Neurospora crassa OR74A: one gene and its partner. The protein of the gene in region 1 purifies or fractionates together with the protein of each later gene. This does not show direct contact. Links are inferred from orthologs where the notes say so. Each region holds a gene or a part of one and is shown in the gene's direction. Other genes may lie near its edges.

What was found.
Region 2: the proteins of NCU06921 (region 1) and NCU06994 purify together in Schizosaccharomyces pombe (affinity purification with mass spectrometry; 3 studies listed by BioGRID, with this or other methods). This does not show direct contact. The link is inferred for Neurospora crassa OR74A from reciprocal best matches to the Schizosaccharomyces pombe genes prp17 and cdc5.

What each region holds. Positions count from the first base shown.
Region 1 is NC_026507.1:771,472-775,900, reverse strand, and holds NCU06921 (mRNA splicing factor), read left to right. Parts: upstream 1-1,426; 5' UTR 1,427-1,593; coding exon 1,594-2,846; intron 2,847-2,924; coding exon 2,925-3,303; 3' UTR 3,304-3,642; downstream 3,643-4,429. Other genes in the region: NCU06922 (endosomal cargo receptor), read left to right, coding at 1-43, 117-183, 269-361.
Region 2 is NC_026504.1:4,815,442-4,819,751, forward strand, and holds NCU06994 (pre-mRNA-splicing factor cef-1), read left to right. Parts: upstream 1-1,404; 5' UTR 1,405-1,567; coding exon 1,568-3,568; intron 3,569-3,635; coding exon 3,636-3,974; 3' UTR 3,975-4,226; downstream 4,227-4,310. Other genes in the region: NCU06993 (Ash2-trithorax family protein), read right to left, coding at 1-221, 299-753. UniProt on the Schizosaccharomyces pombe protein: Involved in mRNA splicing and cell cycle control.

The sequences.
Region 1 (4,429 bases):
CTCTCGTGCTCAACCTGCCTCTTCTCGCCTGGAACGTCAAGAAGTAAGTTTTAACAACCGCTTGGATGGCAATATCCGCAGCTTGCGCGAATCGGATAACTAACCATGCGGTGCAGGATCGTTGACAACGCCCACCTTCTGGACGCCACTGAGATCTTCCGCAAGCTTAATGTCCACAAGAAGGTATGTCATCAGCTCAACACAACCAACCGCGTCCGCTGTGGTGGAGCTTCAAGAACTGCTTCTAACCGATCTGCGCGCTCTCTAGGAATCTTTCACTAAGCTCGGCTTCCATCTCATTCTGTTCTTCTTTTACTTGTACAGCATGATTGTGGCCCTCATTCGGGACGAGGCTCATTAGGAAATGGCCGTCGCTCGCTAAGTTGAACTGGACTTCTCGTTTCACAACGATACCGCCACAAAGTCCGTCGGATCGGACGCGGAGCTCTCTCATCGGAGCTCGTGCTCGCATCTTTACCACCACCGTTTTCTCGAAAGTACATAACGGCGCTGGGCACACTGGTACGCAGTACTTCAAACACACACAAACAAAAAATATATACAGTACAACGACAGGCAAGCAAGCAGGCAGGCAGGATCCTCGGCGACGGATGCTGCAAAAGGACGGGAAGGGTTCATGAGCGTAACATACGACGACTTTGACAGATGGCATGGGAGGGCACGAAGCTATGAAGAGATGGCGGGAATGATTATATTATTGGATGGCGGGAGAAGAGGAGGACGAATTGTATGGTCTTGGCTTCTATAATGAAGAGGAAAAGCGACTGACGGGCTTCGGGAAGGTGGCAACTGCCTTGCTGTACGCCTCGGTTGGCATGACAGCTGGATAGACGGGGCAAAAGGAAATGATGAAAAAGAGTTTACGACCTCTTCAGCGGTACCAATTGGGTGTACGCAGGTGAGGAGAGGGAGAAATCGCGTGCTGTATTTTACTGCTTCCTAAAGTATGTAATGAAACGGGACGGGCTACGTCATGAAGATCATGGTCTGTTGCTGTCTTGTCAAATGTCAACACCGAGGGAAGGCAACGCGGGCCACATATGGAGAACCACGAACATGACTTTTTGATCCATAGACATTGGGCGCGTTGTTGGAATATGTACTCTCTTAGCAAGCTGTTGTCGTCCTACCAAGATGGAACCGAATATTCGGGTCATTGAACACTCTTTGTACTGCATAGTAGAGAGGCAAGCCAGAAACAATAGAGCTTGGCTCAACGCTGATCATTGTCAGCCCCTCCCTCACAAGCAAGCTGAGTCTCAGCTCCAAAGCTTGGTCCTTGCTCAACCAGAGTGCGACAGCAACCCGGTAAGTGGGTGGTATATGGCCCGTGCGCGCGTATATCGTAGAAGCTCCACTCTGAATTTGAGTTCCACTGTTCCAGACGTCAACCAATGCGCCCGGCCTGCCGCCAACGACTCCAAGAGGGTCGCATCCCATCTTCATCTCCAAAACAACAAAAACAACAAAACAAAAAAAACATTTTCAGGTTCATCAAGCGTGCGGCTGGCGAGCATACCATCACCACAATTTCATCAAGCCGCAGCAGAACTAAACATAATCCAAATAGCCATGGCCGACTTCAATGAATACCCAGCAAACCTGTCAGTCAAAGACGCCCTCATCGTCCGCCAAGTCGCCGAACCAGACCATGCCGTTGTCCCCTACACCGGCGAGGATCTAAGCCGACCGCGACTCGGGCCCGCCAACCCCTTCCGTGACGATACCGACTCGACTTCCACTGCGGTCGGCACCAAGAGGAAGAACGTCCTGACCGGTACTGCGGCCGAGACTTACATCAGCGAACACACTTTTCGCTCCAAGCACCGCGCCATCGAGCGCGGCGGTGGTCCCGCGCGCGAACAATTGGGGAGTACTGCCAAGAAGGCGGCGGCTGCAAAGCTGAGGCAACAGAGAGAGGGGAAAGGAAGCGCGACGATTGCGGATGGCGATGGGGCCTACGTCGGGCCATGGGCGCGGTACAAGAAGCAGGAATATGAGGAGGTGAATGAAGAGGAGCTGGGGAGTGGTGAGGAATATGAGATTGTCGAAGAAGAAGAAGGGGAGGAAGAGGAAGACGTGGTAGAGAGCGGGACGGTCGTCAAGGCGCCGACGAAGAACCTGGCGCGCAGGAAAGAGGTGGAAGAGCAGGGCGCGGAGACGACGACGTTCCATGGCACCGAGGAATTCGATTACCTTGGCCGGACATACATGCACGTCCCGCAGGATCTGGATATCAGTCTCACCAAGGACGTCGGGAGCGTCACGAACTTCATCCCCAAGAAGCACATGCATACATGGAGGCACCATGCCGGCAAGCCGATCACGGCGTTGCAGTTGTTTCCCAAGTCAAGTCACTTGGGTCTGTCGGGCAGCACGGACAGCACCATCAAGATCTTCGATGTCTATCGCAATCGCGAGCTGTTGCGGACGTATGCGGGCCATTCGAAGGCTATCACCGACTTGTCGTTTAACAGAGACGGCACCAAGTTCCTATCGGGCTCGTTCGACAGATGGATCAAGTTGTGGGACACAGAGACGGGACAATGTGTCAACAGGTTCAACACGGGCAAGACACCGCATGTCATCAAGTTCAACCCGTCGGTGGATCAGGGTCACGAGTTCTTGGCGGGCTTGTCGGATAACAGGATTGTGCAATACGACAGTCGTGCGGGAGCGGATCCAGTGCAGGAGTACGATCACCACTTGGGCGCCATCAACACCCTCGAATTCGTGGACGAGAACAGGCGGTTCATGTCGACGTCAGATGACCGCTCGTTGAGAGTATGGGAGTATGGAATTCCAGTCGAGATCAAGACTATCAGGTATGTCTTCTCTTTTTTTTCTTCCTCCCATTTTTATTCTCCTTACCAAAAGTAATCACATGCTAACATTTTCTCTAGTGAACCCGACATGTTCGCCCTCACCAAATCCACCCAGCACCCCTCGGGCAAATACGTCCTCTACCAATGCTCCGACAACTCCATCGTCGCCTACTCATCGGCCTCGGACAAGTTCCGCCAAAACCGCAAGAAGTCCTGGCGCGGCCACAACACCGCCGGCTCCGGCATCGGGCTGGTCTGCAGTCCCGACGGGCAGTTTGTCGCTTCGGGCGATACCGGAGGATACGTCTGCTTCTGGGACTGGAAGACGTGCAAGATGTACCACAAGATCCACGCGGACACGAGCGGGGGGGCGATCAACTGTGTGGCTTGGTCGGAGCAGGAGACGAGTAAGGTGTTTACGGCGGGGGCGAAGGGTGAGATTAGGATGTGGGATTAGACACTGTCCGGTCTCGTGGGTCATTGTGTGAAATTGGGCCATTGCTGAGGGATTTTGATGGCTGTCCTCAGGGATGACGATAGAGGAAGAAGATTGGAGCGTCGCGTCTCAGGTGAAAGCAGGCAAAGAACGAGCGACCGGAAAAAGATATTTACAGCATTGCTTGGCGTTGGGAGAAACATTTCGGTACTAATGGGATTGGACTGGCTTTTCAAGTGCAAAGACTTGATTTTGGAGCAGCAGCAGACACCAATCAAGACACCGGCGAACAGCCGATATTGATCATCCATTCCCGGACTTAATTCGTCTTGACTCAGTCGATTGAACTATATACTGGACGTGCACTGAAAATATGACAGTGGCTGGTCGACCGAGTATCTTTGTTGTAATCAATCGAAGTGCCGACGACTATCCCCTCTACATCACGGCGTCGAGGCTTACTTCCCAAGAAACCATGAACGTTACACTGCAGCCAAGTGTCTTTGGATTATTCGGCTGTTCATATTGGTCTGGTTATGTTACCCTCGCTGCCGCTGGTTATTCAAATGAACATTATCTATCATCTTGTGCACCGCACCGCTCAAGTTTACTTGTACCCTTCATGCAATTCCGGTTCTTCTGCAGCTATAACACCATTGTCGGAGTCATTGTTTTGCGCATCTTCCTCATACCCGTGGGTGTGTGTGGTTGGCTCATAGTGCCACCCGCTTTGGAAGAAAAAAAAAACACCGCCAAAGGATTCTCATCAAAACCAAAATACCTCCTTTCGTAAAGAACGAGGGGGTAGTTTCTATCTACTACGTAACTTAAAGAGAAAGAAAGAAAGATAAAAGGACAAAATGAGTTCGAGCAGGAAAAAAGAAACCAAAAAGAGTGGACAATACCGGATTCGAACCGGTGACCTTTCACAAAGGCGCATCTATGGAATTATGCGAAGCGAAAATCATACCCCTAGACCAATTGCCCTTGGATTGTTACTAAGTGGTGGAGATGACAAGCCTATAGCTTCCATTGCTTTGCCACCTCAACTATAACACAAACATGTCATTACTGTCGTTCATATCAGTTAGGTTTTAAAGTAGAAAGGAAATACAGTGGTGGCATCCAGTAGGTAACCCGAGCAAGT
Region 2 (4,310 bases), on another chromosome or scaffold:
ACCTGCCCTCTCGCACGGCCACGTTGGCTCGTGACATACGGAAGCCCTTGTCGGTGGTGACATGACGACCCTGTCGGTCAAAGTATACGTGGGAGGCAGAGTCCTCGAAGGCCATGTGGGCAGCGTACGGCTCGGTCTCGGTCTGGCGATAGTAGAACATGGAAGGAAACGTTGGGTCGGCTATACAGTGAGTGTAATGGAACGCTCGCTTGTTGAAGACACTGTAGGAAAAAGGCAAATCAGAATATGCTCCGCATGAATGGAGAATGGCGAAGGAGCAAATATAGATAAGACATACTGTTCGGTTGCATCAAAGAATTCGATGGTCTCGCCCTCGGGCCCTTGAACCTCATGATGGCTGGTGAAGACGGGACCGCGCGCGGGCTCGAAATCAGTAAGTTTGGGCGGAGCGAGCTTATAGCGCGCGGGGAGCAATTCGTTGATCAAGGGCTCTTTGTGTTGCTGCTTCGGGTCTGGAGTTGCTCTAGAACTATCGGAACCGCCTGCTGCTGCCTTGGCCTCCCTCTTCTTGAAGGAGTCCTTCTTTGTTCTCTTTTCGCGGTTTAGAACGGCTGCTTGCTGGGTGTCTTCGGGTGCCTGTATTTGGACTCTTGGAGCGGCCTTGTTATCTGGGTTTAGGGGTGATGGAACTGCTGGACTGTGGTCGTCTTCGAGCGTGCGCTTCTGAGGGATCGTCGTGGCAGCTCCGGAAGGTGTTTGCTCCCTTCGGGGAGAGCCTACGTCGCTGGCCATATGTAGCTCGGCAGACGTCGTGCTAGCAGTAACGTTGACAAATATTTAACTAAGTGATTAGTTTTGCTTTCGCAAGCTGTCCTTGTCCTGAAGTCGACTTGTGTTTGGACTCGAACGGCGAGCACTCCAAGTCCAAAGTAGGTACCGACGGGAGCTCTTCTGATCGACGACAGCTTATGGATGCTAAGAATAATCTGAGAATTGCCCGATGGTGATCCTACGGGTAAATGCTTTGGTACTCGGAGAAGACGCGTACTTTTGGAGAGCGCAATTGGGTTAAAGAGTCCAGTTTCGGAGCGATTTGATGTTCTTTCTGGGGATTTCTGTAAAGAGTTGAGAAATGTAAGAGGAAAGAAAGACATGTGAACCAGAAATGGTGGATGGAAGCTTCATCCACTCGACCAACAGCAGCAGCGTGTCGCGACAAAAGGGCGGGGCATCCTTCTGTTAGTGGTTAACGGCAGGCAGGGGTCCCGGAGCTTGGCTCGCTTGTTAGTTACCACATGCATGGGACACAAAAATGCTAACAGCGCGGGAACCTGTTGCCTGCCGCAAAAAGGTCTTGAGGTTGGCTAGCGCTTGACAGTTGATACTGGGAAAGACGCCAAGGCAGTTGCGTCGCGGGTGATTCCATTGTTCGCCTTGACGCCAGCGCTTTGAATTTCTGGATTTCTTCCCCATCAACACAACAACATTTCAACACTTTCAATTCCAATTCCAAGACAACCCCAACCCCGAGTGTCCTCCCACCTACCGGAACGACTCCCGCATCACTACAACGCCCGACGAGTATCCATAACGGCCGAGCGACAAGATGCCCGTCGTCAAGGGAGGTGTGTGGACCAACATCGAGGATGAAATCCTCAAGGCGTCGGTCAGCAAGTACGGCCTGAACCAGTGGGCCCGCGTCTCGTCGCTGCTGGCCCGCAAGACGCCCAAGCAGTGCAAGGCAAGATGGAACGAATGGCTGGATCCCAGCATCAAGAAGATCGAATGGAGCAAGGAGGAGGATGAGAAGCTGCTGCACCTCGCCAAGCTGATGCCGACCCAATGGCGTACCATTGCCCCCATCGTTGGAAGAACCGCAAACCAGTGCCTGGAAAGATACCAAAGACTTCTCGACGAAGCTGAGCAGAGGGAGGCGTCCGCTCTTGGGCTGACGGGCCCTGATGGAGGCGAAGCTCACGCGCCCAGCGCCGACGATGTTCGCAAACTACGTCCTGGCGAGGTCGACCCCGATCCGGAGACGAAACCCGCCCGTCCCGACACCATCGATCTCGATGAAGATGAGAAAGAAATGTTGAGCGAGGCTCGCGCGCGTCTGGCCAACACACAGGGTAAAAAGGCCAAGCGAAAGGCCCGTGAGCGACAGCAGGAGGAGTCACGCCGACTGGCCGCTCTCCAGAAGCGTCGCGAGTTGAAGACAGCCGGTATCAACATCAAGGTTACGACAAAGAAGCAGGGCCAGATGGACTACAATGCCGATATTCCATTCGAAAAGAAGCCTGTTCCCGGATTCTATGACACCACCGAGGAGATGTCTCGCAACGAGTACCAGCGCGCCCATTTCGACCCCAAGAAGCAGCAGGTTGGGAACAAGCGCAAGGGTGAAGAGGACGAGAGAGACGGCAAGAGGAGAAAGGGCGACAAGGACCCATCTGTGCAAGCCGCCCTCAAGGCCGGTCAACTGCAGAAGATGCGCGAGGCAGAACAGAGCAGCAAGCGGAGGGCTTTGGTCCTGCCAGCACCTCAGGTCGGCGAAGGCGAGTTGGAGGAAATTGTGAAGATGGGCATGATTGGCGAACGGGCAAATATGCTGGCTCGCGAAAGCGACAACGACGCAACTCGTGGCCTGATCAACAACTACTCGACACTCAACACCAATGCGCCAATCCGAACACCGATGGCCCCCGCTCAGGAAGACCACATCGCAAACGAGATCCGCAACATCCGAGCACTAACAGAGACGCAATCCTCGCTGCTCGGTGGAGAGAACACACCTCTACACCAGGGGGTGGGCTCTACCGGCTTCGAGTCGGTTGCGCCGCGGAAGCAGGTCATGTCAACCCCTAACCCCTTAGCCACCCCTTTGCGGGCAGCTGGAGCTGGTCCTGGCGCCACGCCCCTCCGCGTCGGCCAAACACCACTGCGCACTCCCCGTGATACATTTGCTCTCAATGATGCCGGTGACGAAATGTCCATGGTGGGCGGCACACCCCGAGATGTTAAGATGCGCGAGATGTCTATTCGGCACCAGCTCAAGCAAGGCCTCGCGTCTCTTCCCAAGCCCAAAGAGACCGAGTGGGAGCTCGAGCTGCCGGACGATCAGCAAGAGCCCAAGACCGCTGAGCAGCTGGAGGAGGATGCTGCTGAACGTGATCGACGAGAAAGGGAGATCAGGGAGGCGCGAGAGCTGTTGGAGCGCAAGAGACGTACCCAGGTCATGCAGCGGGATCTGCCTCGGCCTGTCCAAGTCGATTATCAGTCACTCTTGAAGGAAGCCTCGCAGGCCGAGGACCCTGTCAAGGTTCTCATCGCTCGTGAAGCGGCCTTGCTCGTAGCTCATGATGCCACCAAGTATCCTCTACCGGGAGCTCAGCCAACTGGCCGGGCACTGGAGATCCAGAAAATCGACGACGCCGCGTTGCAAGAGGCCAAGCTTCAGGTTCTGATGGAAATCAAGGATAAACCAAAGCCGGAAGAAGTTCAAGCGGTGTGGGAAAAGAGCAACAGCAGCTCCCTTTTGCTTGGGCTGGGATGCTATGAGGACGATGAAGAAGAAGAGCAGATTTCCACTATGCAAATTGCGCTTGAGGTATGTACAACTAACCCCTTTTCTGCCTCCTGCCTTCCGAAGGCTTACTGGCTAACCTAACCTGCAGGAGGTCATTGACCAAATCGTCGCCTCGGCAGAGAAGGGCAACAAGCTCGAGAAGAAGCTCAACCTGCATCTTGGCGGTTACAAGAATCGGGCTGAAATGCTGCGGAAGAAGATCAGTGAGGCTCACGAGGCGTTGGAGAAGGCGAACAACGCTCTGGGCGCTTTCAAGGTCCTCCAGTCCTCGGAGCAGGCCGCTATTCGGAACCGGCTGGCGGCGCTGCGTGAGGAGGTGGGCTTTGTGAGCACGAGGGAGAGAGAGGCGCAGGAGTTATACAGGAGGACGAGGGAAGAGCTGGATGCTTTGACGCTCAACGGGCCGAAGGCCAATGGGTTCCGCTGAATGATGTGTTGGAAGAGTGTGGTCAGGTTGTGAATAATTGAGTGTTGGTTAAACTCTGGCATGGCATGGTATGTCTGGCAACTGTCTGTGGAATGGCCACTGACGTCGAGCAGCTCAAAATAAGAAGCATTGAACATTATTATGTACTTGGAGGACGTCTCTCGATGCACCGTGTGAATATGTATAGTACGATGACCAACCTCCCTCTCAATATCAGTGAATTCTTCTCCTACGAGATTCTCACAACCCAGGGGCTTGGTAAGCGGGAGCCAAGGTGAACGCCAAATGCGAGTCATATCATATACACTGCAAAAAGCTTACCGGGGAGCGACGAAG